Linked DNA regions of Oryctolagus cuniculus. Each later gene encodes a partner of the first gene's protein in a complex. Links are inferred from orthologs where the notes say so. Each region holds a gene or a part of one and is shown on either strand. Other genes may lie near its edges.

Evidence for each region.
Region 2: TAF5 (region 1) and TBP share a complex: the UniProt entries of both Homo sapiens proteins name them as parts of the TFIID basal transcription factor complex. The link is inferred for Oryctolagus cuniculus from reciprocal best matches to the Homo sapiens genes TAF5 and TBP.
Region 3: TAF5 (region 1) and TAF12 share a complex: the UniProt entries of both Homo sapiens proteins name them as parts of the TFIID basal transcription factor complex. The link is inferred for Oryctolagus cuniculus from reciprocal best matches to the Homo sapiens genes TAF5 and TAF12.
Region 4: TAF5 (region 1) and TAF8 share a complex: the UniProt entries of both Homo sapiens proteins name them as parts of the TFIID basal transcription factor complex. The link is inferred for Oryctolagus cuniculus from reciprocal best matches to the Homo sapiens genes TAF5 and TAF8.
Region 5: TAF5 (region 1) and TAF4 share a complex: the UniProt entries of both Homo sapiens proteins name them as parts of the TFIID basal transcription factor complex. The link is inferred for Oryctolagus cuniculus from reciprocal best matches to the Homo sapiens genes TAF5 and TAF4.
Region 6: TAF5 (region 1) and KAT2A share a complex: the UniProt entries of both Homo sapiens proteins name them as parts of the TFTC-HAT complex. The link is inferred for Oryctolagus cuniculus from reciprocal best matches to the Homo sapiens genes TAF5 and KAT2A.
Region 7: TAF5 (region 1) and TAF13 share a complex: the UniProt entries of both Homo sapiens proteins name them as parts of the TFIID basal transcription factor complex. The link is inferred for Oryctolagus cuniculus from reciprocal best matches to the Homo sapiens genes TAF5 and TAF13.

Annotation. Positions count from the first base shown.
Region 1 is NC_091446.1:26,646,026-26,650,075, forward strand, and holds the start of TAF5 (transcription initiation factor TFIID subunit 5), read right to left. Parts: upstream 2,801-4,050; 5' UTR 2,758-2,800; coding exon 2,199-2,757; intron 1-2,198. UniProt on the Homo sapiens protein: The TFIID basal transcription factor complex plays a major role in the initiation of RNA polymerase II (Pol II)-dependent transcription.
Region 2 is NC_091436.1:47,885-51,384, reverse strand, and holds part of TBP (TATA-box-binding protein), read left to right. Parts: intron 1-2,033; coding exon 2,034-2,428; intron 2,429-3,500. UniProt on the Homo sapiens protein: The TFIID basal transcription factor complex plays a major role in the initiation of RNA polymerase II (Pol II)-dependent transcription.
Region 3 is NC_091438.1:143,057,259-143,061,393, reverse strand, and holds the start of TAF12 (transcription initiation factor TFIID subunit 12), read right to left. Parts: upstream 2,801-4,135; 5' UTR 2,654-2,800; intron 292-2,653; exon of another isoform or gene 190-291; intron 1-189. UniProt on the Homo sapiens protein: The TFIID basal transcription factor complex plays a major role in the initiation of RNA polymerase II (Pol II)-dependent transcription.
Region 4 is NC_091436.1:127,850,257-127,853,756, reverse strand, and holds part of TAF8 (transcription initiation factor TFIID subunit 8), read left to right. Parts: intron 1-413; coding exon 414-553; intron 554-833; coding exon of another isoform or gene 834-846; exon of another isoform or gene 847-3,500. UniProt on the Homo sapiens protein: The TFIID basal transcription factor complex plays a major role in the initiation of RNA polymerase II (Pol II)-dependent transcription.
Region 5 is NC_091442.1:1,310,106-1,313,605, forward strand, and holds part of TAF4 (transcription initiation factor TFIID subunit 4), read left to right. Parts: intron 1-1,858; coding exon 1,859-1,948; intron 1,949-2,812; coding exon 2,813-3,058; intron 3,059-3,500. UniProt on the Homo sapiens protein: The TFIID basal transcription factor complex plays a major role in the initiation of RNA polymerase II (Pol II)-dependent transcription.
Region 6 is NC_091448.1:20,670,822-20,674,945, forward strand, and holds the start of KAT2A (histone acetyltransferase KAT2A), read left to right. Parts: upstream 1-1,324; 5' UTR 1,325-1,389; coding exon 1,390-1,728; intron 1,729-1,868; coding exon 1,869-1,992; intron 1,993-2,245; coding exon 2,246-2,391; intron 2,392-2,478; coding exon 2,479-2,568; intron 2,569-2,751; coding exon 2,752-2,933; intron 2,934-3,013; coding exon 3,014-3,205; intron 3,206-4,083; coding exon 4,084-4,124. Other genes in the region: HSPB9 (heat shock protein beta-9), read right to left, coding at 1-328. UniProt on the Homo sapiens protein: Protein lysine acyltransferase that can act as a acetyltransferase, glutaryltransferase, succinyltransferase or malonyltransferase, depending on the context.
Region 7 is NC_091438.1:61,355,766-61,359,697, forward strand, and holds the start of TAF13 (transcription initiation factor TFIID subunit 13), read left to right. Parts: upstream 1-1,132; 5' UTR 1,133-1,232; coding exon 1,233-1,259; intron 1,260-2,109; coding exon 2,110-2,188; intron 2,189-3,932. UniProt on the Homo sapiens protein: The TFIID basal transcription factor complex plays a major role in the initiation of RNA polymerase II (Pol II)-dependent transcription.

The DNA.
Region 1 (4,050 bases):
GAAGACCTCTCTCTCTCCCTCTCTCTGTAACTCTGCCTTTCAAATAAATATTAAAATTAATAATATTTAATAATTTAATAATTAAAAGTAATAATAAATATTAAAAGTAAAATGTAGGCATTTTTAGAATGGGAAGGGCCACACCTAATTTTTTAAAATATATTTATTTATTTATTATTTGAAAGCAGAGGCAGAGAGAGAGAGAGAGAGAGGTCTTCCATCCACTGGTTCACTCCCCAAATGGCTGCAACAACCACAGATGGTCTGAGCCGAAGCCAGGAGCCAGGAGCTTCTTCCAAGGCCTGAGGATCTGGGCCAGCTTCTACTGCTTTCTCAGGCCACAGAAGAAAGCTGGACTGAAGTGGAGCAGCCAGGACTTGAACCCGTGTCCATATGGGATGTTGGCACTGCCCCACACCTAAAACTAACTCAATTGTATATGCTTAAAGCAATTTCCATAACCACTATTTCAAGGAAGAAGACAAAGTATCTATTTCTTTTTCTTTTTTCTTTTATTTTTTTTGACAGACAGAGTTAGACAGTGAGAGTGAGAGAAAGGTCTTCCTTTTTCCGTTGGTTCACCCCCTAAGTGGCCACTACGGCTGGAACGTTGCACCGATCCAAAGCCAGGAGCCAGGTGCTTCCTCCTGGTCTCCCATGCAGGTGCATCCTCCACTGCCTTCCTGGGCCACAGCAGAGAGCTGGCCTGGAAGAGGAACAACCGGGACAGAATCCAGCACCCCAACTGGGACTAGAACCCAGGGTGCCGGCGCCGCAGGCAGAGGATTAGCCTACTGAGCCGCATCGCCGGCCCAGAGTATCTATTTCTAATATAGGAATATCAAAGTTACATCTGTCAATCAAATTACTTTGGGTAAGTGGAAATTTAAATTGCAATAATAATACAGTTACGCTTTCTATGGCATAAATGTAATTCTTTGGGTTACTCTAATGGCCTCTTTTCCTCCTTACTGACTTCTCAATTATGATCTAAAAACTGATTTAGTTTCAGAATCAAGAGATGACAGTAAAATAACCAACAATATAACTCATTTTATAGTTCATTCACAAAATTCAATATTAAGAAGAAATTCCTCCCAACCACATTTTGGGCATTTCTATCTATGAAATACAACACTATGTATTCAAACTTCACTTCTGGCAATGCTGCAAAGATTAGGTCACATAAATACAGATTAATTTGGCTAGAGGCTCTGCAACATATAATTTAATTCAATGAATATTTATTGTTGGTTCAGGATCACCTTCAAGATCTTACATTGTGTATGAATTGTACTGCAAAGACTTATGACATTTACTGGAAGAAAGGTGTGGTCTCGGGTGTCAGGGATGGAGAGGAAAGAGCCTATCAGCACAAGGCATTTTACAGATATTACATCTGAGTCTCATAAAAACTCAGTTAATAGAAAAAAAAAAAAGTAACCTTAGGAAAAAATGAGTCAATCAACATCACACAAGTAAAAGCAGCAGAGACAAAGAGGTCTGTCCACCTTATGGCTCCTAAAACTTAGAGTTCTCAAACTTCACGACCCATCCATACTTCTTGGAAGCACCAACTCAAAAACGCAGGTTCCCAGACTCTACCTCTAAGGGTCTGATTCCCTCCGTCTGAAATGATGCCCCGAAGACACAGCACTGCTGGTGCCTAGCCCGTATTTTGAGAAATGCTGGGTACACCATGTTCCATCACTCCCTGGCTACCGAGACCCAAGGCAAGCTCCTTGGGATCGCTCAAGAAATCTGTTTCCTTGTCTCCAAAATAGAGGTCATGTCCGCCTCAATGAAACTGTGAGAACCGAGACTGCCAAGTATTTACAGCTTAAAATACGCCAGTACAGAATTCCACAAAGACTGTCGCTGTCAATGCAGACTTGCCCAAAGCTTAAAAGCCCAAACGGGAGAAAAGGGGCCGAAGCCTGGAGGTCCCCGCCTCCCCGCGCCCACCTTCCCCACACAGCTCAGATCCACAGCTCTGTTCAGCCTCTCGCTGCAACTGACAGCTCAGACGAGGGTTGACTGCGCAGCCGGCGCACTCGGGAAAGGGGCGGGCATGTGGCCCTAGAGGCGGGCCCAGGAAATTCAAAACAAGCCCGCAGAGGTGCAGGCCTGCCAGCCCTCGCCTTCCCGGCTAGCTCCCCTTCGCGCCGGCCCGGCTTCCCCGGGACCCCCCGGCTCACCTTTCCCCGGAGCCGCAGGACCTGAGGCTGAGCCGGAGACAACCGTCGCCCCCGAAGCGCCGGTGCCCGGAGGGTCGGGGGCCGCCGGGCCGGGGGCCGAGGCGGTGACCCGGCTGAGAAGCGAGCTAGCCGCCTCAGCGCCGGCGCCGTCCACCTCTCCCGGGGCTCCGGAGCCCGCTACTGCCTCTTCCAGCAGCCGGGCCTCGCGGCGCAGCGCCTCTTCGGCCTCGCGGAGGTTGCTCTGCCGTAGAAACTGCAGCACCGCCAGCAGAGTCTGTCGGTCGTGGGGAGCACCAGCCTCCGAGGCAGCGGCAGGTACCGGAGCCGCCCCCGCCGGGGCAGCAGCGGAGACAGCCACCGCGGGCTTGGGGGTCCCGCCATCCCCGCCGGCCGACGACGCCGCCGCAACGTTCCCGCCACTGCCGTTGGGGCCGTTGTTGGTAATGCCGACGGTGCCCTCGCCTGTGCCGTCACCCGCCTGCGGAGGTAGCAGCGTCGGTGGTCCCTCAGACTCTAGCTTGACCGCCACCTCCGTCTGCTCCTCCGCCAGCGCCGCCATCTTGCGGCTGAGCCACCTCGCGCCGTCAAGCGTGATTGCGTTTTCGCCACATGGAGGGCGGGGAGGAGCATTTCACGACAGCTCTGGTCGGCTATTTACGGCAGTAGGAGGAGCGAGAGAGAAGGAGAAAAGGGCTGGGAGCGAGAGCAACTTTCAAAAAATGAGCGAAAGGCCGGCAGGAAGTGGGAGTTGGTGACCGCCTCTATATTTGCCTGACCATAATTACTGTTTATTGCAGGCCAGTTATATTCAGGCACTGTGATAGACGATCTTCGTTATTATATGGAAGCCTTTAATTCAACAGTCTTTAGAAGTGGCTTAACTACAACCCAGAGAGGTTAAATAACTTGCTGAAGTCACACACAAGAAGTCTTAAGTGTCACGACTCAAAGCCATGTTCTTAGCACTAAAGCACGCGTCGTTTGCCCGAAGGATGCTTCCAAGATACTGCTAATGTTTTGCATTTTGATGTGGATAGTGGTTACTTCCTTTTTTTTTTTTTTTTTTTTTTGGCAGTTCTTACAAATCGAGTTGCATGCTTAAATAATTTTGTGAACGTTACAGCATACATATAAATATTTTAAAGATTTATTTTTTTATTTGAAAGAGATAGAGACAGAGAACGAAGTCTTCCATCTGGTTCACTCCCCAGTTGGCTGCAATGGCCAGAGCTAAGCTGAGCTGATCCAGAGCCAGGAGCCGGGAACTTCTGTTGGGTCTCCCACGTGGGTGCAGGGGCCCAAGTACATGGGCCATCTTCCACTGCTTTCCCAGGTGCATTAGCAGAGAGCTGGATCAGAAGACTTGGGCACTGGAACCAGCACCCATATGGGATGTTAGCACTGCAGGCCGGGGCTTTAACCCTGTGAGTCATAGCACTGGCCTCAGCATATATATATATATATATATATATATATATATATATATACATACATATACATTTAAGATTTTTATTTCTTTATTTGAGAGGTAAAGTTACAGACAATGAGAGGGAAAGGCAGAGAGAAAGGTCTTCCTTCCGTTGGTTCACTCCCCAAATGGCCACAACAGCCGGAGCTGTACCCATCTGAAGCCAGGAGCCAGGTGCTTCTTCCTGGTCTCCCATGCAGGTGCAGGGGCTCAAGGATTTGGGCCATCCTCTACTGCTTGCCCAGACCATAGCAGAGAGCTGGGTTGGAAGAGGAGCAGCTGGGACATGAACCAGCGCCCATATGGGATACCAGCAGTGCAGGCAGAAGATTAACCTACTGCACCATGGCACTGGCCCCAGCATATACATTTCAATAAAAAGTT
Region 2 (3,500 bases), on another chromosome or scaffold:
CAGGATTCAAACTGGCGCCCATATGGGATGCTGGCACCACAGGCGGTGGCTTTACCTGTTACGCCATAGCACCAGCCCGCTCCCCTTTTATTTTCCTGCTACTATGTTGGTGAGGCAGTTTGACACTTTTTGGGGTCTTAGATGTATTTGAGAATGTAACGAAAACTGTAGACCTTCTCCAGAAAATACACAGAATGTCGCATGTAACACTGAGGGTCACAAGGACATCATGAGCTCTTCAGTCTCTGTGGGCTCCCAGGATTTTGGTGTTGCGGGAAAGCATTGGCCTGGGTTTCAGGAAACCCTGGCTGTGATCTTGGCTCATCTACTCATGAGATCTGTGATCTTGGGCAAGTCATTTAACTTGTTTGGGTATGTCAGTTTCTTATCTTTAATATAGGAAAAATAGCTGTTTTGTGTTTCCCAAAGGCTTTTTTGTAAATTACTAAGTGTAACCTTTGTCTGTAAATACTTAGAAGTAAAAAGTAAACTGATGGAGGTAAAGCCCCACCTGCAGTGCTGGCATCCCATATGGGCACCAGTTTGAATCCTGGCTGCTCCACTTCCGATCCAGCTCTCTGCTATGGCCTGGGAAAGCAGTAGAAGATGGCCCACATGCTTGGACCCCTGCACCTGTGTGGGAGACCGGGAAGAAGCTCCTGGCTCCTGGCTTCAGATCAGCTCAGCTCTGGCCATTACAACCAGTTGAGGGTAAACCAGCAAGTAGAAAATTTTCTCTCTCTCTACCTCTCCTTCTCTCTCTGTGTAACTCTGACTTTCAGATAAATAAATAAATCTTTAAAAAAAAAAGTAAACATATATTTGGTAAATTTTGTTGGTTTACCCTTTTGCAAGAGCAAGTGATCAACCTTTTTGAATATTATTCCAATAATCATGATTGTGGCCAATACTTCAGTGTTTCCTGTGTGCCTATCATTGTGTTATCATCTAACCTGGAATGTATCCATTTCAATTGAGATGGGATGCTATCTATATGCTAGGATAATAGGGTTTTTTTTAAAGATTTATTTATTTATTTGAAAGTCAGAGTTACACAGAGAGAGAAGAGGAGAGGCAGAGAGAAAGAGAAGTCTTCCATCCGATGGTTCCCTCTCCCATTGGCCACAACATCCGGAGCTGTGCCTATCCGAAGCCAGGAGCCAGGAGCTTCTTCCGGGTCTTCCACACTCATGCAGGGGCCCAAGGACTTGGGCCATCTTCTACTGCTTTCCCAGGCCATAGCAGAGAGCTGGATGGGAAGTTGGGCAGCCGGGTCTCGAACCGGCGCCCATATGGGATGCTGGTGCTTCAGGCCAGGGCGTTAACCCGCTGCACCACAGTGCCAGCCCCAGGATAATAGTTTAAGCAGAGAAGTATGTTCACTCTGTTTATCTCCCTTATTCTTTCTAATGTTCTCAGATCATTATTATCTGCTAGATATGTTTGAAAGGTTAAGCAACTTTCTCAAGTTCTTGCATGTAATAAGCAGCAGTGGGATTCCAAATTGTAAGCTCTTATTTACTGTTAAAGAAGAAAGTGGGGGCTGGCGCTGTGGCGCAGTGGGTTAACGCCCTGGCCTGAAGCGCCGGCATCCCATATGGGCGCCAGTTGGAGACCCCGCTGCTCTACTTCCCATCCAGCTCTCTGCTGTGGCCTGGGAAAGCAGCAAATGGCCCAAGTCCTTGGGCCCCTGCACCAGCGTGGGAGACCCGGAAGAAGCTCTAGGCTCCTGGCTTTGGATTGGTGCAGCTCCGGCCATTGCAGCCAAATGGGGAGTGAACTATCAGATGGAAGACCTCTCTCTCTCTCTCTCTCTCTATGCCTCTCCTCTCTCTGTGTAACTCTGACTTTCAAATAAATCTTTTAAAAAAAAGAAGAAAGTGATATTTCTAAGACCTTTCTGGTCAAGTTTAGTGATCCTGTTATCCCTGGAGGGGTGTCTGTCTTTATACCTCCTACCTGTTCCACCAGGCATGTTTCACAGACATGCAATACCAGCCAGTCTAACCTGGCATTTGCCTTGCTTTCCACAGGGCGCCATGACTCCTGGGATCCCCATCTTTAGTCCCATGATGCCTTACGGCACAGGACTGACACCGCAGCCTATTCAGAACACCAATAGTCTGTCTATCTTGGAAGAACAACAAAGGCAGCAGCAGCAGCAGCAACAGCAGCAGCAGCAGCAGCAGCAGCAACAACAACAACAACAGGCTGTGGCAGCCGCTGCGGCTGCGGTTCAGCAGTCTACATCCCAGCAGGCGGCGCAGGGGGTCTCAGGCCAGACACCACAGCTCTTCCATTCACAGACTCTTACAACCGCACCCTTGCCGGGCACCACTCCCCTCTACCCTTCCCCCATGACCCCCATGACCCCTATTACTCCTGCCACACCGGCCTCGGAGAGCTCTGGGATTGTACCACAGCTGCAGTGAGTACCATAGCCAGTGTTGTGGGTCTGCTGTCCCTCGCCCTGGAGCAGGGGTGGGGCATGTCCAGCACCAGGGCTGTGTAAGGCCTGTGAGGTGATCTGCTCAGGGCCTGCCAAGGCAGCCTCAGGCACAACTCAAAATTCATTACATCTATAGTAGGCTGATTTTTAAGGTGATAATTTTGTATGACCTGTAAATGATGTTATAAATGCCCAAATGGCCCTTGGCAGAAAAAAGGTTCCCCACCCCTGCCCTAGAAGGTTCTCTTAGAGCTAAATTACTGTTTGTTGTTTCCAGATGGATCCATTTATTTAACAGAGTGGCACTAATGGTAATTGTGTCTCAAAATTTGCTTCACCTCTGCTTAAGAAAGCTGCCTTCCCTTTTTTCAAAAAAAAAGTTTTGTTTTGTTTCTTGTGTTTTTCTTTTTAAGATTTTACTGGGCCAGCGCTGTGGCTCAATAGGCTAATCCTCCGCCTTGTGGCGCCAGCACACCAGGTTCTAGTCCCGGTCGGGGCGCTGATTCTGTCCCGGTTGTCCCTCTTCCAGGCCAGCTCTCTGCTGTGGCCCGGGAGTGCAGTGGAGAATGGCCCAAGTCCTTGGGCCCTGCACCCGCATGGGAGACCAGGATAAGCACCTGGCTCCTGCCATCGGATCAGTGCGGCGCGCTGGCCGTGGCGGCCATTGGAGGGTGAACCAACGGCAAAGGAAGACCTTTCTCTCTCTCTCTCTCTCTCTCTCTCTCACTGTCCACTCTGCCTGTCAAAAAAAAAAAAAAAAAAAGATTTATTTGTTTGAGATGTAGAATTACAGAGAGGGAGAGACAAAGAGAAAGGTCTCTTCCTTTTCTTCATCCACTGGTTTACTCCCCAAATAGCCGCAAGGCTGGAGCTGGGCTGATCTGAAGCCAGGAGCCAGGAACTTATTCTGGGTCTCCCACACGGGTACGGTGGGCTAGCACTTGGGCCATCTTCCACTGCTTTCCCAGACCATAAACAGAGCTGGATCAGAAGAGGAACAGCCAGGACAAGAAATGGCACCCAAATGGGATGCCAGTGCCACGGGTGGAAG
Region 3 (4,135 bases), on another chromosome or scaffold:
CCAATGCTGGACCACAAATGAAGTGAAAGAGAACATTTTAAATATGCAGATGAGAATGTTAACTCAGGAATAAGTTTTTTCTATCTTGAATATCTATGCTTCTGTGAAAACACATTTTAGTTCTCCTTGAATATTATACTACATATGTACCCAAATCAGTTATAGTCCTTTTTTTATGTTAATATTTTTAAAAATATGGAATGCTTCATGAATTTGTGTGTCATCCTTGCACAGGGGCCATGCTAATCTCTATCATTCCAATTTTAGTATATGTGCTGCCAGAGCGAGCACAATATAGTCCTTGATATTAACAAAATTTAGAAGGAAGGTGTTGGAGTTTGTGGCATAATGAGTTAAGTCACACTTACAATGCAGAAATCCCATAGCAGAGTGCAAGTTTGAGCTCTGGTCTATCCATTTCTGATCCAGCTCCCTGCTAATGCACCTGACAAACAGAGGAAGATAGGCCTCTGTCTCCCATATGGGAGACTGGGATGGAGTTACTGGCTCCTGGCTTCTGCCTGGCCCAGCACTGGCCACTGCAGCTATTTGGGGAGTGAACTAGCAGACGGAAGATCTCTTTCTGTCACTCTGGCTTATAAATGAATAAGTTTTTTTTTTTTTTTTTAAGGAAAGTGCTTTCATTCAATAATATGCTTGTATCACTATTACTTCTGTTTTGTTGATGGGCAAATCAAGACATGAAGAATCCATTTAGAAAAGTAGAAGCTGTAGAGACACACAGAATTGGGGCTGGCTCATTCAGTCCTATTCAATTTCAGGCAAAATGCTTAACCTCTCTGAACCTAGTTCTTTATCTGTACAATGGGACTAACAATATCTAATTTGTGGGGCTGTAATAATTAAGTGACACAGTAGGTGAAAAGTGCTTAAATGGTACCTGGTTAGTCTGAGTAGGTTTCAGTAAAAGAAAAAAAAATACTATTATTAAAAAGGAGAAGTAACTGGTCAAGTCTCCACACCATCCTTATTTAAAAACAGCCATCCCTTGTGGTGCAGTGGGTTAACTTGTCACCTGCAAAGCCAACATCCATTATGAATGCTGGTTCAAGTCCCAGCTGCTCCACTGCCAATCCAGCTCCCTGCTAATGCGCCTAGGAAAACAGGAGAAGATGGCCAAAGTGCTTGGGCCTCTGCCACTCATTTGGGAAATCCAGAGGGAGCTCTGGGCTCCTGGCTTCTGCCGGGTCCGGCCTTGGCAGTTATGGCCATTTGGGGAGTGAACCAGTAGATGGAAGATCTCTCTCTCTCTCTCTCTCCCTTTCTGTAACTCTTTCAAATAAATAAATCTTTAAAATAAACAAACACAGCCATTCCTAGTAAATATTTTTGCTATAAATGTAGGGCACAATTTTCTAGATAGCTTATTTTAAAATAAATAAATAACATTAGGTTTCATTTAAAAGTTTTCTTACTGGTGACATTCACTGTTTCAATGTCAACACACTAAGACTCAAAATAAAGCATTAGAATCTATCAGAATCTTCCTCCTGAGTCTGAAGAGAGAACAAAGATTCTAGAAGCACTTTCCAAGGAACATTAACCAAGCGTCTCCTATTTACCGTCCACAGGATACTTGATCAAAATTATGCTCTAAGTAACCACTGTCTCACTGTGACTCTAATCCCTCTTTGGACTTCGGGTCCCTTAAATGTAAACTAGGCGTTGGAAAGAGATGGTCTTTTGGGGCTCTTCCATCTCTGATATTCTTTTATTTGAGATACAGAGCTCTGTGCTCCGTCAGGGTTTAGTGGAAAGAAATTTAAAGCACTTATCAAGTATACAACTGGGTTCAAAGTGTTTTCAACTTCACATCCGATTCGCAAGAATGAAGCAGAAAATGAAGATGCTTCTATGTGGGCTTCCAAGATTAAGTATCTGACACACACAAGCCTGCCAAAAGCCAAGCAGGCAGCGCGAAGGAGGACTCCTCCTCCCCTGAAAATAGAAATGTATACAGAATACATATATCCATCCCTGTATCCTTTAGCACTCTGGGTCAGAGACTACTTGCAAACGGATCACTCTCTTTCCCCAGTCCTCTCTCTTTCCCTTGAAGGCTGATCGCTTACACCCACAGCCGCTTCGATTCTCCGCTTTTAAGGAACTCGGATCCTCACAGCCCCGTTCCTTCCGAAACTTGGAGTCTCAAAGCCCGGATCGCGTGCCCACAGAAGCCCCAAGTCTTCTCCGCCAGCTTCGGCCCCTCAGGAAGCTAAGTCTTCGCAGCCCACCCCGGGTCTTCACGGTCCCGCTCCTGCCTCCTAGGAGCCCGAGTCCTCACTACTCCACTTTCACCTCGCCGGAGCCCGTGTCTTCACGCGCCACTCCGTTCCGACCCTTTCTCCTCTCAGGAGCGCGGGTCCTCACAACCCTGTCCCTCTCAAACCTCTCTCCCTTAGGTGCCAGGGAACTCGCATCCGTCCCCGTCTCCTAAGTCCCGTCGGCAGCCCGGACCCTCACAGCCGCGTCTCCTCCGAGCGCGATCCCCTTAGTCCCGTCCCAGGAGCCGGATTCCTCACAGCCCCGTCTCCTCCACAGCCTGGTCCTTCAAACAGTGACCCACTGTGGGTCTGGGTCCTGACTCCCTCCTCCCGCTCTTCTTCCTCTACTGCCAGGGCCCAACACTCACAGGCAGCAGCGTCTATCTCCCCATGATATGCGGAGACTGCCCCAGTGAAGCGTTCGTCTCAGCAGCCGGTCCGACTGCGCGGCCCTCCCCGAGTACTTCCGGCACCGCTCCCCGCCTCCAACCCGGAAACGCGCGGCTCTTCCGGCCGGCGGGCGCGCGCCTGGCTTGCGCAGGCGCACACCGTCCTCCGACATGCGGTCGCGGTGCAGGGCTGGAGCTCAGCTTCGGTGGCCGCCGTTTTTCCCGCGTGCGGTTGTCTGGCAGCGTGGGCGAACGCTGTGTCTTCTGCCCTGGCGTTTCGAACCCTGCCCTAGGTGTTGCTTCCAGACACTGTTTGTATCACCCGGTAGCATCATCGATAACTGATGCCCTTGGATGGCTGTGAGGTCGCCATTTTTGGTTAATGCCTTTGTCGTGGCATCAGGACGGGGGTGTCACCTGGGACTGCAGCATGCTGTGTGTATTTTTTTGGACTCTTGCCGAGGAGTTGGCAACACAGTAACCTGGAGACGACAGACCGGTTCTGCCTGTGAATTTGCAGTGAAGCGCTTATTTTCCGCTAGCAAACAGTGCTAAGCCCCTACCTCCCATATGTCATTTAATTATCTAGAGGGAGCCCGTGAGAGATTAAGCCGGGGTCTGGCTGATAAGGTCAGAGCCTTAACTTGAACTCAGAACTCCCTCAAGCTTGGATGCCTTCAGTTCTTTCCTCTGCCAAATACTTTATGAGAACTGCTGTATTTTTGCTAGTTGTAAGTTTGTAAGCAAGACCTGGTTCCGGCATCCGTGGGTTCAGAGTAAGACGCGTGCGTGCGCGTGCATACACACACACAGGGCTGTGGCAGGAAGGGCTGCCAAGACCGGTGCAGCAACCTGCCCTCTTTGTCTTCCTGTCTCCCACCCTCATCCCACTACACTGCCGCTGGGTTTACAGTAAGAGCTTCGTCACATTAGGCTTTCGGCTGTCTGCCTCGCGTTGTTTCCCTGTCTGCTACATTCATTCTTTTTAGGGTCTGGCATATCAGTTTTTGTTGTTGAACTGTACATCTTTTCAAGGCCCAGTTTGAATGTATGTTCATTCAGCAAATGAGGCTGACGTGGCTCAACAGGTTAAGCCGCCCGTGGCGCTGGTTCTAGTCCCAGCTGCTCCACTAATAATCCAGATCCCTACTAGTGTGCCTGAGAAAGCAGCAAAAGATGCTGCTCTCCTTGGGGCCCTGCACCCGCATGGGAGAGCCAAATGCCAGATGGAGTTCCAGGCTCCTGGCTTTGGCCTGGCCCAGCCCCGCTGCTGCAGCCATGTGGGGGTGAAGCAGCGGATGAAAGATCCCTCTCTCTCCTTCTCTAACTCTGCTTTTCAAATGAAATCTTAAGTTTGTTGAATCTGTGTGCCACGACTTTTGCTGTATGTACTGGTGGGTAAGAAAGACAATATCCTTGTGAGTTTACAATCCAGGGTGAAACAGAGCAAAAGATAAGAGG
Region 4 (3,500 bases), on another chromosome or scaffold:
GGAAACCTGTTGTGACTTCAGTTAGCTCTGGGCTAGGAGTCGGCTGTGCAGGCGATCGCTCCGGCATCCAAGGTCACCTTCCTCTCTGTTTATCTCCCCACGGGTTGGGCTTCGTCCCTGGAGCAACTGAATCGTAGCCCCAACTGCTTGCCTCTCCCAGATCTCCATCCTTCCTAACTCACGTCCCTGACTTCTCAAGAGGGTCGAGACCATGTCGCGTGCTCCAGTCTCGCTTTCCCCTCCGGGCCAGTGCCTGCCTGGGCCGTGTCTCGCCTGCGGCAGAGGTGGGAACCATGGACGGAAGGCAGCGTCCAGGCTTGGGGTCGCTCAGTGAAAGGGTCAGTTCCTGTGGCGGGCAGAGTCTCTTTCCTCATGCCGCTGGTGTTCTGCTTTATTTCGGCTTTTGCTCAAAGGATGATTCTGGAGCTGAGAAGGAAAACGCGTCTGTGCTGCAGCAGGCCCCCTCCTTGCCGGGCAGCCGGAACGGGGAGGAGAATGTCATCGACAACCCCTACCTGCGCCCTGTGAAGAAGCCCAAGATCCGCAGGAAGAAGTGAGTCAGAGCCGGGGCAGGACAGGCTGCTCTGCTCGCCCAGGGCGGCCTTTCTGCTCTCGGCGGGAGAGAGCTCACCTTGGGAGCAGCTCTGTGCTGAGAGGAAACCTCCCCCGCCCTCTCCCCGCTCAGCTCCCCTGTGTGCCTCTTGTTCCTGAGCGGTTGCGTGTCCGTAGCCTGCGGGCCACCCTCGCACCCGGGCCCCAGCCTCCCCTAGGAGGAGAGCAGGTCGGGAGGGGGGCACCCACCAGGCAGGCTCCATGGTTATTCTTCTTTCTAGGTCCCTCTCGTGAGCTGAGAAGGAAGCCTGGCTTGGACAGGGATGGGGACGCCACCCTCATGGCCGAGGCTGTGATGGGCATGGGTGTGACGGCAACCTGGGAGGTTTGGGTGAGAAAACACCGACGCAGTCCTGAGGCCTCTCAGTCAGCTGGCCACGCAGCAGCCTCCTGCCTGCAGCCTCAGCCAGGGACTTCGCTTGTGACCGTGGGACTCAATTCCTTTGCAAGCCCAGGGAAGGCGACAGGGAGAAGGGCACACGTTGCTGCCTTGTGTCCTGCCAGGAGGCCTGTATCCCTACTGTTGAATCACACCTGGGACAATGGTTGATCATCCCGGAATCTTGTTGAGTTCTCGCCTCAGCTGGGCCCCGGGTACCCTCGTGCACCGATGGGAAGTGACTCTGCAGCCCTTGATCGTGTTGGAAATGGGCAGCGCACGCGGCACGGCTTTGACCGGAGGCAGGCAGGATTCGGAAGCCATGAGCAGACAGGTGAACGTGGAGCAAGGTGGCACGGGGGGCAGCACTGCGGCTGCACGTCGCTCCCGAGAGACTCATCACTGGCTCTCCCTCCACGGAAGGTGTGCTTAGGACCTGCCGCCTGCCCCCCGCTTGGGAAAAGAGGTTTGCCTGACAGAAGCCTAGTCTGTGTCTGAGCTGCGACTTGTAGTACAGCCATCGAGTCACACAGGAAAGGGGCAGGCAGGGTGGGGGTGGGACTGAGGGCTGGACCTGGCCCTTGTGTTCTGGAAGCCGAGAAAGCAGCTGCTCTGCCCGAAGCCGTGTTCCTACTGCCAGCAGAAGTGGGCGGACAGGAGCCTGCCGGCCCAGCCCAGGTGGTCTCCAGGTCTCAGTCTGTTCGGTCTCATCACCTCCTGGGGACAAGATTGCATTCTTAGTGAACTTTGCGAGCCAGAAACTTTTTTTTTTTTAAGACTGGACCTGCGTCATGTCACAGCAAGTTAAGCTGACACCTGCAATGCTGGCATCCCATGTGTGCGCTGGTTCGTGTCTCAGCTGCTCCGCTTCTAATCCAGCTTCGTGCTAATGCAGCAGAAAAGCAGCAGAAGATGGCCCAAGTATTTGGGCACCTGCCACCCCATGGGAGACTCCAGTAGAGTTCCCGGCTCCTGGCTTTGGCCTGGCCCAGTCCCAGCTGTTGGTACAGCTATTTGGGGAATGAACCAGTGGATGGAAGATTTCATTGTAACTCTGCCTTTCAAATCAGTAAACCTTAAAAAAACAAAGCAAAAAACCTTATTTATTTGAATGGCAGAATGACAAGGACACACACAGAGAGATACCATCCACTGGTTCACTTCCCAAATGCCCACAGCAGTCAGGGCTGGGCCAAGCCAAAGCCAGGAGCCAAGAACTCCACCCTGGTCTCCTACGTGGCAGGGCAGGAAGGCAAGGACTTGGGCCGTCATATGCTATCTTCCCAGGTACATTAGCAGGAAGCCAGATTGGAAGTGCTGAGGTACTGGGACTCGGACTAGGCCCTGTGATGGCAGCATCCGATGCTGTGACTTAACCAGATGCGCCAGCATGCCTGTCCCCAGAGAACAGATTTTTAAAGAAGATATAGAGCGCGCAGGTATCTTTAGATCTCAGAAGGAAAAGATCTTCAAACCAAACCAAGGAAGAGAAACTCCAGTGCCACCTGGAGATTCACACGGGAAGGACGTGTTGTTCCCTGGGCCAGACTCTTACAGTCCTTAGTTAACTTCTCACACCCCCCACTGGACTCCCAAAAACTGTGCAGACCTGGCTGCAGGCCCCGTGTCCTTAGGGCACTGTGCCCTGCCTCCCGGAAGGAGGACCTGCTCGTGAGGAACTGGAGAAGAGACACCACCGAGACAGCTGGATCTCCCAACCCTGGACCGCGTAGGAGCTTCCAGGTTCACAGCGACCGGAGACCCCTGCTGAAAGCAGTCAGGCCAGGCTCAGTGGACCCCTCGGGGTTGGTCTGCCGCTCAGCAGTTCTGGGCGCAGTGGGTTGAAGCACAGTCCCAGATTGGAGGCGTGGCGGATCCGGCTTGCTGTCCTCACTGCCCTCAGGAGCTGTCGCCCGGGTCGTTTCTGCAGTTCCCCGTTCATCCTGTGCCGTTGCCATCCCAGCCAGGCACCTGCAGGGTTAAGTGGGAGGCGGGAGAGGGTTGCCACAATTGCTGTAATTCCATTCTGGAGGGAGGCACCGGGAGGTGGCCAGGCGACGTGAGGCATTGACCCGACTGCTGCTGTTGTATGCGAGTTGCATAAGTCTCGATGCATATTTATAAATTTCTATTTTTTTAATAACTTTGGGGGTGGTCTTGGCCAGAAACAGTAGTAAACAGCCCGTTTAAAAATGTGACTTATGAAAATCCTATAATAAAAACTTTGTAAATAAACAGTGCTGTAAACTTTACACGTGATTTGTCTTTGGAAGTTATGGCCCTGTACAAGGCTATGGACAGAAAAGGAAGGCATAGCCCTTCTGTAATTTTAAGTACCCCTGGGAACTTAGTAAAACTTCAGTTTGAGAAATTTTCCAACACAAAGTCAGACAGGAGATTATCTGAAGCCATCCGTACCCCTCACCCGGCTTTAATACTTAGCAGTGTCCCATCAATTCTGTTTCAACTGTTTCTCCCATTTTTTCTCTTCCTGGAATATTTTGGTTTT
Region 5 (3,500 bases), on another chromosome or scaffold:
TCCTCCTCGTCCTCTCCAACCGAATCCTGTTTATGAACGGCACTCTGCGTCCTGGGTCAGAATCAGGGCCCGGTCTCTGCCCGTGTCTACTGAGGTCTACAACAGCCTGGTCTCTGCCCGTGTCCACGCTGTGGTCTGGATGGCCGGTCTCTCTGCCCGTGTCCACGCTGTGGTCTGCACAGCCGGTCTCTGCCCGTGTCTACACTGTGGCCTGGACGGCCGGTCTCTGCCCGTGTCTACTCTGAGGTCTACAACAGCCTGGTCTCTGCCCGTGTCCACGCTGTGGTCTGGATGGCCGGTCTCTGCCCGTGTCCACGCTGTGGTCTGGACGGCCGGTCTCTGCCCGTGTCCACACTGTGGTCTGGACTGCTGGTCTCTCTGCCTGTGTCCACGCTGTGGTCTGGACGGCTGGTCTCTCTGCTTGTGTCCACGCTGTGGTCTGGACGGCCGGTCTCTGCCCGTGTCCACACTGTGGTCTGGACTGCTGGTCTCTCTGCCTGTGTCCATGCTGTGGTCTGGACGGCCGGTCTCTGCCCGTGTCCACACTGTGGTCTGGACTGCTGGTCTCTCTGCCTGTGTCCACGCTGTGGTCTGGACGGCTGGTCTCTCTGCTTGTGTCCACGCTGTGGTCTGGACGGCCGGTCTCTGCCCGTGTCCACACTGTGGTCTGGACTGCTGGTCTCTCTGCCTGTGTCCATGCTGTGGTCTGGACGGCTGGTCTCTCTACCCGTGTCCACGCTGTGGTCTGCACAGCCGGTCTCTGCCCTTGTCCACGCTGTGGTCTGGATGGCCGGGGTCTCTGCCTGTGTCCACGCTGTGGTCTGGACGGCTGGTCTCTCTACCCGTGTCCACGCTGTGGTCTGCACAGCCGGTCTCTGCCCGTGTCCACGCTGTGGTCTGGACGGCCGGGGTCTCTGCCTGTGTCCATGCTGTGGTCTGGACGGCCGGTCTCTGCCCGTGTCCACGCTGCTGTTGCCAGGGGTCTTGCGTTTTCTGCTGCCCACCCCCCGCCCCGAGTTCCTGAGAGCAGCCGGCTCCGTGTGGTCCAGTTCCTGCCCATCTCGCTTTTCTCCCCTGTTTCCACCAAACTTCCTGTAATTTCTTGAGCAAAATTTTTTTTTTTAAAGATTTAATTTTATTTGAAAGTCAGATTTACACAGAGAGAGAAGGAGAGGCAGAGAGAGAGAGAGAGAGAAAGGTCTTCGGCCACTGGTTCACTCCCCAGTTGGCCACAATGGCCGGAGCTGCACCAGTCCGAAGCCAGGAGCCAGGAGCTTCCACACGGGGGCGGGGGCCAAGGGCCTGGGCCATCTTCCACTGCTTTTCTACACCACAGCAGAGAGCTGGATCGGAAGGGGGGCAGCCAGGACCCCAGCCGGTACCCATAGGGGATGCCGGCACCGCAGGCGGCGGCCTTAGCTGCCACACCACGCACGGCCCCCTGGGCTCTCTCGCTTCCTCTGTGCGCGGCTGGCCCCTCGAGGACCTTGCGGGTGTGGTAGCGTTGTTCCCTCCCGAGAGGCGCCCTGACCCCCAGCTCACTGTGCTGACCTTGAGCGTGGAGCCGTCCCCGCAGAGCTGCCGGTGCTGAGGGGCTTGCTCAGCCCTGAGCGAACGCTCAGACACGGGCAGACGCCTCGTGGCCCCCAGCCGGGGCGCGCTGGTGTGCGGGGGGCGGCCCTGGCCTGGGTGCCCAGGGGTCTGGGCGTGTCGGGAGAGACGTGTGCGGGAGGTCTGCCACCGCGGGGTTTCAGCGTGGCTACGTGTGCGGGAGGTCTGCTCCCGCGGGGTTTCAGCGTGGCTACGTGTGCGGGAGGTCTGCTCACCGCGGGGTTTCAGCCTGGCTTTTCTCTTTCAGGATGGAAAAATCGAAGCAGAAGATTTCACTAGCAGGTTATACCGCGAACTCAACTCCTCACCTCAACCTTACCTTGTGCCTTTCCTGAAGGTAATCAGCAGGGGGCAGTGCGAGGCCCTGCGGGGCGCAGGCGCGGGGTGCTCGCTCAGCCAGGCTTTCCTGCGGCGCGAGCCGACGCTGGCGCGGGCTCTGCGCTGCTTCGGAAGAGGCGGCTTGGGGCGGCTTGGGGCGCCTTGGCCCAGCAGGGCGGGGTCTGCCCAGGGAGGGCCTCTTGTCCCAGCACTGAGTCTACAGTGCTTTTTGTTCTTTAATGAAGAGCTCCCCTTAACTTCTTTTTTTCTTTTTTTTTATTTGAGAGGCAGATGGAGCTCTCGCAGCTGCTGCCTCGCCCACGGCAGCTGTGGCTGGGCCGAGCGGAGCGCAGTCTGGGTCTCCCACGTGGCGGGGCAGAGACCAGGCGTTGGGGTCTTCACCTCCCGTTGTGCCCGCACCCCAGCGTGTGTGCATGAGCAGGGAGCTGGACTGGGAGTGGGGCTGGGGCCTCAGCCGGCCGCTCTGACACCTGCCCGACTCCTACCCTGGTGCTGCTGCTTTTTGGTTCTTGTGTTTTGAACGACTTATTTTATTTACTTTGAAGGACAGAGTTAGGGGACGGGGGTTTGGGGTGGATCTTCCATCTGCTGGTTCACTCCCCAGATGACTGCAATGGCTAAGGCTGGGCTGAGCTGGAGCCAGGAGCTTCCTCCTGGTCTCCGTGTGGGTGCAGGGGCCCAAGCACTGGGCCAACCTCCACTGCCTTCCCAGGCCACAGCAGAGAGTGGACTGGAAGCAGGGCAGGCAGAGTGGGATGCTGGTGCCGCAGGCGGAGGCGCAGCCGACTGCACCACAGCACTGGCCCGTGTCCGGCTGCCGCGCGCGCCGCTCCCTGACCCCTGTGCCTGTCTTTCCGCCCAGAGGAGCTTACCCGCCTTGCGACAGCTGACGCCGGACTCCGCAGCCTTCATCCAGCAGAGCCAGCAGCAGCCGCCTCCCGCCTCGCAGGCCACCACCGCGCTCACGGCCGTGGTTCTGAGCAGCTCCGTGCAGCGCACGGCTGGGAAGACGGCGGCCACCGTGACCAGCACCCTGCAGCCCCCCGTCATCAGCCTCACGCAGCCCACGCAGGTCGGCGTGGGCAAGCAGGCGCAGCCCGCCCCGCTGGTACGAAGTGCAAGGCCCACCTGCCCTGCAGCCAGCTCGGCCGGCTTCTCAGTGAGGGTGGAAGGTGGGGGCCGGGCTGGGGTCTGCTATCGTGCTGCTCGGCAGTGGAGTGAGGGCGTGGGCTCCGCCCCGCTGGCGTGGGCGTGGTCAGCGGTGTTCATGTGTTAAAGGAACCACACATGGTGGTGATGACTCCCGGCAGCCTTCCTCTGTGGTCAGGAGTGATGGCCCTGGACTCGTGGGGCAGGGGCCTGTGGCCATAGTTGTGGGTCCACGTGTTTTGTAGTGTAGGGAGCCGTGGCTGCTGGCACGTGGTTCATCCACGCAGCCCCGGCCCGAGGAAGGATGTGTGGGTGGAGGCAGTAGGCAGAGTGGGCTCACCAGATGCTCATGTAGTTTTTCCGAGGTGTCCAGGGGCCTTCTTCCTCGTGGACTAAAGTGC
Region 6 (4,124 bases), on another chromosome or scaffold:
CCGGCGGTAGCTGCATTTGCCGCTGCACCCTCTGCTCCATGCGGTAACCACCCAGTCCCGGGTTGCCGTACTCCCACTGCCGCTGGCCGGTCACCGTCAGGTTCTGCCCAGTCACCTGCACCACCAGCTCCTCGGGGGCGAAGCCCTGCGCGTCCATCTTCATTTGGAAATCGTCTGCGGCCCGGCCATGGTCCTGCACAGCGGCCGGGTGGTCCCTCAGCAGCTGCACCGGCAGTGTGGCCACCTGATTGCGTTCAGCGAGGGCCACACTGGGACTCCTCGACGCCACCTGGTTCCCGTTGGAGAAACTGCTGCCGACCCGCTGCATCCAAGTGAGCAACTGCTCTTCAGGGGCACGAGGCTCCGAACGCAAGGCCCGAGCTCGGCCAGGCGTGTGGACTCCAAGGAAACGGGAGCGGGGTCCTCACGAGGCCCCGCGCGGCTCCCCCGGGTCGGGTTGGGTCGGGTCGGGTCAGGCGGGGGCAGCTCATTCCCTTTGACTTCCGCAAACTTCGGCTGGGTCCGGGGTCAGCTCTGCCCGTCCTGCCTCCAGGAGCGGGCTGTCAGTTGCTCAGGAGCACCCGCTATACTTTTACCCTGGCCCTGCCCTTTCTCCACCACGGCACAATGGAGCCACTGAAGAGGCTGGACGCCGGGAGCAGACACTCGGCAGCCACCGACCGGCCAGGGGCAGGGAAGCCCATTGCTGGCAGAGACAGCGGGCGGGGTCCTCCAGGTCCTCCATCGCGGCGTGCCCTGCTTCTCCCTGAGCACACGCACGAGGGAGGCGGGCACATCCCTCCCTGTCCTCGGGGTCTGGGGCCACAAAGATGATGGCGCGGGCATCCCGCGTCCCAGTGGTTTTCCTTGTCGCTGCTGCGACCACAGCCGCGCCCCTGGAACTCTGTGTTTTGATACTAAATTCTCTCCGTTGAAGGATAACAAAGTGCACAACGCAGTACAGGTGGATGGTACACAGCGCACGCCCGGGGTAGCCACCGAAGCTCAGAGCTTCGGCCACGTCTCAGCCCCTGTGCGGCTGCAGCCCCGCGTCTGGGCCTCACGGGATGGGGCCTCGGCCCCCGTGGGGGGCGCCTATTTCCTGGGATGCACCTCCCTGTCCCTAAGACGGCAGCAACCGGAGCCGTCCCGGACGCCTTCCAGATAAATTGGGAGCCAGGAAGTCTGGGGTGCTAGCTGGGGCTCCCCTTGGCTGCCTGGTACCAAGAGAAAGGACGGAAAAGTCTGGAAGCTGGAGGCCAGGGGCGCGGCGGTGGAAGACTACAACTCCCGTCGTGCGTCGGGCCTGTGGCGCCTGCGCACTGCGCACCGGTTGCCCATGCGGCCCTAGGGCTGGGAGCGCGGCGCCGCTCCGCTGCGGGGGAGGCCATGGCGGAACCTTCTCAGGCCCCGGCCCCAGTCCCGGCTGCGCAGCCCCGGCCCCTTCAGTCCCCAGCCCCTACCCCAACTCCTACTCCTGCGCCCAGCCCTGCTTCAGCCCCGACTCCGGCTCCCACTCCGGCACCAGCCCCCGCCCCGGCTGCAGCCCCAGCCGGGAGCACAGGGACTGGAGGGCCCGGGGTAGGAAGTGGGGGAACCGGCAGCGGGGGGGATCCGGCGCGACCTGGCCTGAGCCAGCAGCAGCGCGCCAGCCAGAGGAAGGCGCAAGTCCGGGGACTGCCGCGCGCCAAGAAGCTTGAGAAGCTAGGGGTCTTCTCCGCTTGCAAGGTGGGGGCGGGGCCTAGGGTGAAAGGGGCGGGGCTTGAGGGCATCCCTGGGCTCGGGTGGGAATGGGGGGCGACGCTCTGGACGCTTAGCGGCCCCTGCCCCTGGGGTGCGGGGGTCGTTGACTTATCTCCTGCCTCCAGGCCAATGAAACCTGCAAATGTAATGGCTGGAAAAACCCCAAGCCCCCTACTGCTCCCCGCATGGACCTGCAGCAGCCTGCTGCCAACCTGAGCGAGCTGTGCCGCAGCTGTGAGCACCCCTTGGGTAAGGCAGGCAGCGCCCTTGCAGGTGGTGGGCGCCAGGTGCTGGGGCCTGCTTGGACAGCCTGATTTCGCTGCCAGGAAACCTCGTCTCAGGACCTTAGGAGGTGTGGGGTTGGGGGCAGGCAGGCCGAGAGGGAGGAGAAAGGGAAAGTGCCAGCCGGGAAGATGCGGGGCCACCTTTGGAAGTCTTGGCTCCCTGCCGAGCAGGGCGTCCATGCCTCCCCACCCCGCGGCCCGGGCTGGCTGTCTTGCAGCTGACCACGTGTCCCACCTGGAGAATGTGTCAGAGGATGAGATCAACCGGCTGCTGGGGATGGTGGTGGATGTGGAGAATCTGTTCATGTCGGTGCACAAGGAGGAGGACACGGACACCAAACAGGTCTACTTCTACCTCTTCAAGGTGAGCTTCCGCGAACGGGCGTGAGTGGGGGGCAGGGGGGCTCTCAGTTCTGATGCTCCCTCCCTCCCTCCCTCCCTCTTCCTGCAGCTCCTGCGCAAATGCATCCTGCAGATGACCCGGCCTGTGGTGGAGGGGTCCCTGGGCAGCCCCCCGTTTGAGAAGCCTAATATTGAGCAGGTGGGGTGGGGCACGGGGAGCTGGGTCCTCCCTCCTGCTCTAGCTGAAAATCAGAGGGGATCAGCCGGGGGCGTGTGTTCTGTGCTGACTGCAGAGTGGGGTGGAGGAGGGGGGGCACTTTGTCACGAAGCTGGCTTCTTAGCCCTCCTCCCTGGATTTGTTCCCCACCCCACCCCTTCCCAGGGTGTGCTGAACTTCGTGCAGTACAAGTTTAGCCACCTGGCTCCCCGGGAGCGACAGACCATGTTCGAACTCTCCAAGATGTTCCTGCTTTGCCTTAACTACTGGAAGCTGGAGACGCCCGCCCAGTTCCGGCAAAGGTCCCAGTCGGAGGATGTGGCTACCTACAAGGTCAATTACACCAGGTAGGCCCTGCCCGGGCGGGGGCTGGGGGGGGATTTGTAGACCTCCCCATGTGCTCTCACCCTGCTGTCCCCACCCCCAGGTGGCTGTGTTACTGTCACGTGCCCCAGAGCTGCGACAGCCTGCCTCGCTACGAGACCACTCACGTGTTCGGGCGAAGCCTCCTCCGGTCCATTTTCACTGTTACCCGGCGGCAGCTGCTGGAGAAGTTCCGAGTGGAGAAAGACAAGCTGGTGCCGGAGAAGAGGACCCTCATCCTCACCCACTTCCCCAAGTAAGGCTCGTTCCGGCCCACTGCGAGTTTGCCCCAAGTTCACGTCCTCCCTGTTGTCCCCTTTTTTCCAGGAAGCCTTCCTGGATTGGTCCCTCCTCTCCCTCCATGGGCCTTCTGGGATCTGGGCGTCTACCTGGCAGACTTGCCCATGGCCCAGAAGCAGCTTGCTAGTAGTTGCCTTTGCACGGCCTAGTCTGGGGATGGCAGGTACATGGCCCCGGCTAACGCTGCCCCTCCCACACCCTGCTAGGCGTTACTAATTGTTTCCCATGGGGGCCTGGACCCAGCCTCAGAATCCCTCCCACCACAGAGCTCCAAGAAGCCAGCGCTGACACCTGAGGTGACAGCAGTGTCCGCCCCGCGCTAGTCCTTTCTGTGCCAGTGTCCCCCCGTGTGCCACACCTCTCTCCCATCTTAAGCCTGGCTCGTGACTTCTCTGTTCAGAGAGCCTTGGCTGTCAAATCCGGGCCCCTGAGTGCCCCTGCCACCAGGTGGGAACAGGAGGTGGTGAGTTGGGGTGGATTCCTAGTCATCTTGATGCTGCGGGGAGCAGGGGGACCCAGGGGGACGTGGTGCCCTGCCTGGCTACGGGGTTGGTATTTAGCTCGGGCCCTGTGGCCCTGTGCTGCCCGAGATGGCCAAACTGGGCCCCTTTGCTTGGTGTGTCCGAAGCTCTCACCTTGCATTCGAGGCTCCCGGGAGCCAGGGGGCCGTGCCTGCCCCTGTGGCCAGGGCTTCCCGCAGGGCAGAGCTTGCTCTCAGACGCGCCTCGCAGGGTCTGTCTCTGGCCACGGCACAGCCGCAGCCCCCCGGGGGCCCGGCCCAGGCCGCCTTTGGCGGGAGGGCGGAGTCGTGGACAGACGGCGCCCTCCCCCCAGGTTCCTGTCCATGCTGGAGGAGGAGATCTACGGGGCCAACT
Region 7 (3,932 bases), on another chromosome or scaffold:
GACAGAGAGAAAGGTCTTCCTTTGCCGTTGGTTCACCCTCCAATGGCCGCCGCGGCCGGCGCGCTGCGACCGGCGCACCGCACCGGTCCGATGGCAGGAGCCAGGAGCCAGGTGCTTTTCCTGGTCTCCCATGGGGTGCAGGGCCCAAGCACCTGGGCCATCCTCCACTGCACTCCCTGGCCACAGCAGAGAGCTGGCCTGGAAGAGGGGCAACCGGGACAGAATCCGGCGCCCCGACCGGGACTAGAACCCGGTGTGCCGGCGCCGCAAGGCGGAGGATTAGCCTAGTGAGCCGCGGCGCCGGCCTATTAATATGTTTTTAACACGTAAATTCTCAGGCATGACAACACAGGAGGTATAATAACAATGTGGTTGCTTGTACCTAGATGTAAATTTACCTCGAATGTAGGAACTACAAATGTAGGCAGATTCCAGGTGAGCACTATTTAAATTACAAGCGATATTGCCTTTGGTGGCAGTATTTCCTCTTAATAAGTTCCAAACAAAGCAAAATGCAACAGATCACCAATTTTGAAGAAGTAACAGTCACAGGAAATCCAATGTTCATTAAAAGCATGGGAAAAATAGTTTATATAAAATAATATTTTCAGTCATTGAATGTTCAGCAGGACATAGAGAAATCGTGTGTATTATTGGACTTTTTTATCGTGTGGCATCATCCCTTAGGTTGCAGGATATTTTATGTCAACTCCAGCCTCTTACTGCGTGTTCTCATTGTTAAAACCCAAATTCTTCTCCAGAAAATTTTAAATCGTCTCTAAGGATAGCGCCCCCTTGAGAACTAGTAGTGAAATATAGTACCCCACAATAATTAACAAAGTGCTTGGGATCAATAGTGCAGGCGTAACTCATTGCACTTTAAAATACACCCCTCAGAGCAAGACCGCGGGATCGCCCTCCTACGCTCCAGGTCAGGAAAGGTGGATTCAACACGCACAAGGAGATGTAGGGTGATAAGAGGATACACACTGCCTGGTGCATTTCTTTCAGTTTGCTAAATTTTAGTTCCTTCCTCGGGATTACAGAACCCAGAGCTCACGCTGCTACCCTACAGACCGTCTCTCTCAGCGGTCGCTAGGCAGCTCCCCCTCCCAGGCGTGTTTGCGGGGACCCGGCCCCGCCCCCTACGTCACCGGAAGTGACGCAACGGAAGTAGTAAAAACCCGCTGAGAGCGAGCCGGCGCGGCACAGTAGGTTGTCGGGCTAGTGTAATGGCAGATGAGGAAGAAGATCCCACCGTGAGTGACCGCCTTTGTCCCAATCCTCCCTTTCGCTCAGGCTTAGTGACGGAAGCAGAGTTCAGAATGGGGTGTTTTCCTTAGTGAATTCAGTCGAGAGAGTTCGGGGACCAGTTGTGCTTGTCTTTTCCTTCAGCTTCATGGTTTTAGTACTCCGGGGCAGGACGTGAAGTAGTGGGAAGGTAGCCCCTTTCCCTTCGGATTCGGGCTGAATCTGCTAGACACTTTGTGAAACTAGACGATCGTCAGAGCTAATCACTCGTATTTGTTGGTGCTCGTTAAATGAACCAACAATCTAGCTGCTAACAGAATTGGATATTTATTGTGAAGTGTTGGAGAAATAACGGACCACAAATCAGAAGCCTGGATTTCAAAATCTCCATTCTCACCGAACAAGTTATTTAACTTTCAGCATCGGTTGTTCTTGATATAAAATAAGGTTAAAACAGATAAGGAAAGGTTTTAGCACTGTATAAGCAGGTGCTTAGTTAAAATTTTTCCTTTTTTGCTGCAGGGAGGTAGGCTTTGATTCAGTATCGGTCCTTGAATGGCAACACTGGCTAGCAGTAGACCAACTTAGTTGGTTTTAAACAAAAAGAACTTGCGGCTGTTAAAAGGCTTACGTGTCTAGGCAGGATTGTTGTGGACAGTGTAGAAACCATTTTTGCGGGAATTGAAATTTTGACTAGGTAGTCTCTAAGGGCTCTTTAGTGCTAAGTTATCATGATTTTTTAGTGCTTGCTTTTAAGCGTTTTGGCCTGATATTAGTGTTAAAAATGAAAGCAAGTTATTAAAATATCAAATGCAATGCAATCACTTGACATTTCTATATATACATTTTAACTTCTAGTTTGAGGAAGAAAATGAAGAAATTGGAGGAGGTGCAGAAGGTGGACAGGGTAAAAGAAAGAGACTCTTTTCTAAAGAATGTAAGTAGTATTTGACAGTGATTTTATTATAGATCATGCAAACTTTTGGACATGTCCTTTGGAATAGATTTATATTCTGAAAATGTTTGCAAGGATAATATTCTCAAAATTGCCAGTAAAGTTCAATTTAATTTTTGCCTTTTTTTAAAAGATTTATTTTTATTTTATTTGAAAGAGTTACAGAGTGAGGCAGAGTCAGAGAGAGAGGTAGGTCTTCCATCCTGTGGTTCACTCCCCAGATGGCCGCAATGGCTGGAGCTGTGCCGATCCGAAGCCAGGAGCCAGGAGCTTCTTCCATGCGGGTGCAGGGGCCCAAGGACTTGTGCCATCTTCTACTACTTTCCCAGGCCATAGCAGAGAGCTGGATCGGAAGAGGAGCAGCCAGGACTAGAACCGGTGCCCATATGGGATGCCAGCGCTTCAGGCCTGAGCTTTAACCTGCTGCGCCACAGCACCAGCCCCTCAGTTTAATTTTTGAATCACAGATACTAACCCCAGTTTAACGTATAATTGTGTTTTAAATTGTACAGAATTTAAGTGAGGGAATATTGTTATGTCTTTCTGTTAGGCTGTCACAAAAACACACCAAACTCCGGAGTAAGGGAAAGGGTTTATTGAGAAAAGCCAGCAGACCGGAAGGGTGAGGTGATGAAGGGAAAAAGGGAGAGGAGAGTATAAGAGAAAGAGACACGGAGAGTAGAGGAGCTAGTGAGGAGAGAAGAGAGACGAGAGGAGCCAAGAGAACAGGAGAGAAGAGCCAAGAGTGCCGCCTGTTCAGGAACAGGCCCTTTTAAACTTTGCCAGAGGGCGGGCAGGGAAACAGGAGCAGCGAATCCCGTTAGGATGGGGGTGGAGCTTGACACTGGTGGTTGGGCCATGTGGCTACATGGCTTTCAGCAATGGCTGTGAGAACCGGGGCATAGGATGTAAATCATGGTGTAGATAGCGCCATGGATAAAACTGCACCAGTTTCCTAACAAATATGATCAGTGTTTCAATTCAGGACAAAACAATATACCTCCACGTTTTCCTGGCCCTTACCTTTGCAACAGTAGAAGCAGGAGTTCTTTTGACTGTGGGCACTGAAACAGGTGCTGAGGGTAGGGGCTAAGTTGAGACTTTGGACTAAGGGCAGTGAACAGGGCAGGAAGGTGAGGAACAATGTGAGACATACAATGGCATGAAGATAATATAATGTGTTAGTGCTTTGTCCCACTCCCTCAGTAGACAGATTTTACCCTTTTTAGACAGCAGCATGAAGAAAGGAGATCTGTTCCTACTGCTGATAGTCCAGGACAACATTTAAAAGTCATCATGAGAATAGCTTTTTATCTCCCAGTACGGATTCCTTTATATCTATATAGCTGGGTATTGAGAGATGAGACAACACAGATTTAAGAATACCTGTTTATTAAGGTTGGGACAGATACGAGCAGTTTACATGTGATGTTAAAACTGCACATCAGTATGTCTTTTTTATTTGAAATTTATTTGAAAGGCAGAGTGACAGAAAAAGACAGAGATCTTCCATCTGATGGTTCGCTCATGCCCACAACAGCTGAGGCTTGGCTAGGCCAGGCGGATGCCAGTTGCCCAGAATGCCATTTGGGTCTCTTACATGGGTGGCAGTGGCCACAGTACCTGAGCCATCACCTGCTGCCTTCCAGAATCACAGCAGCAGGAAGCTGGATTCGAAGTAGAGTAGATGGGAGTCAAACAAGCACTCTGATGTGGAATGTCAGCC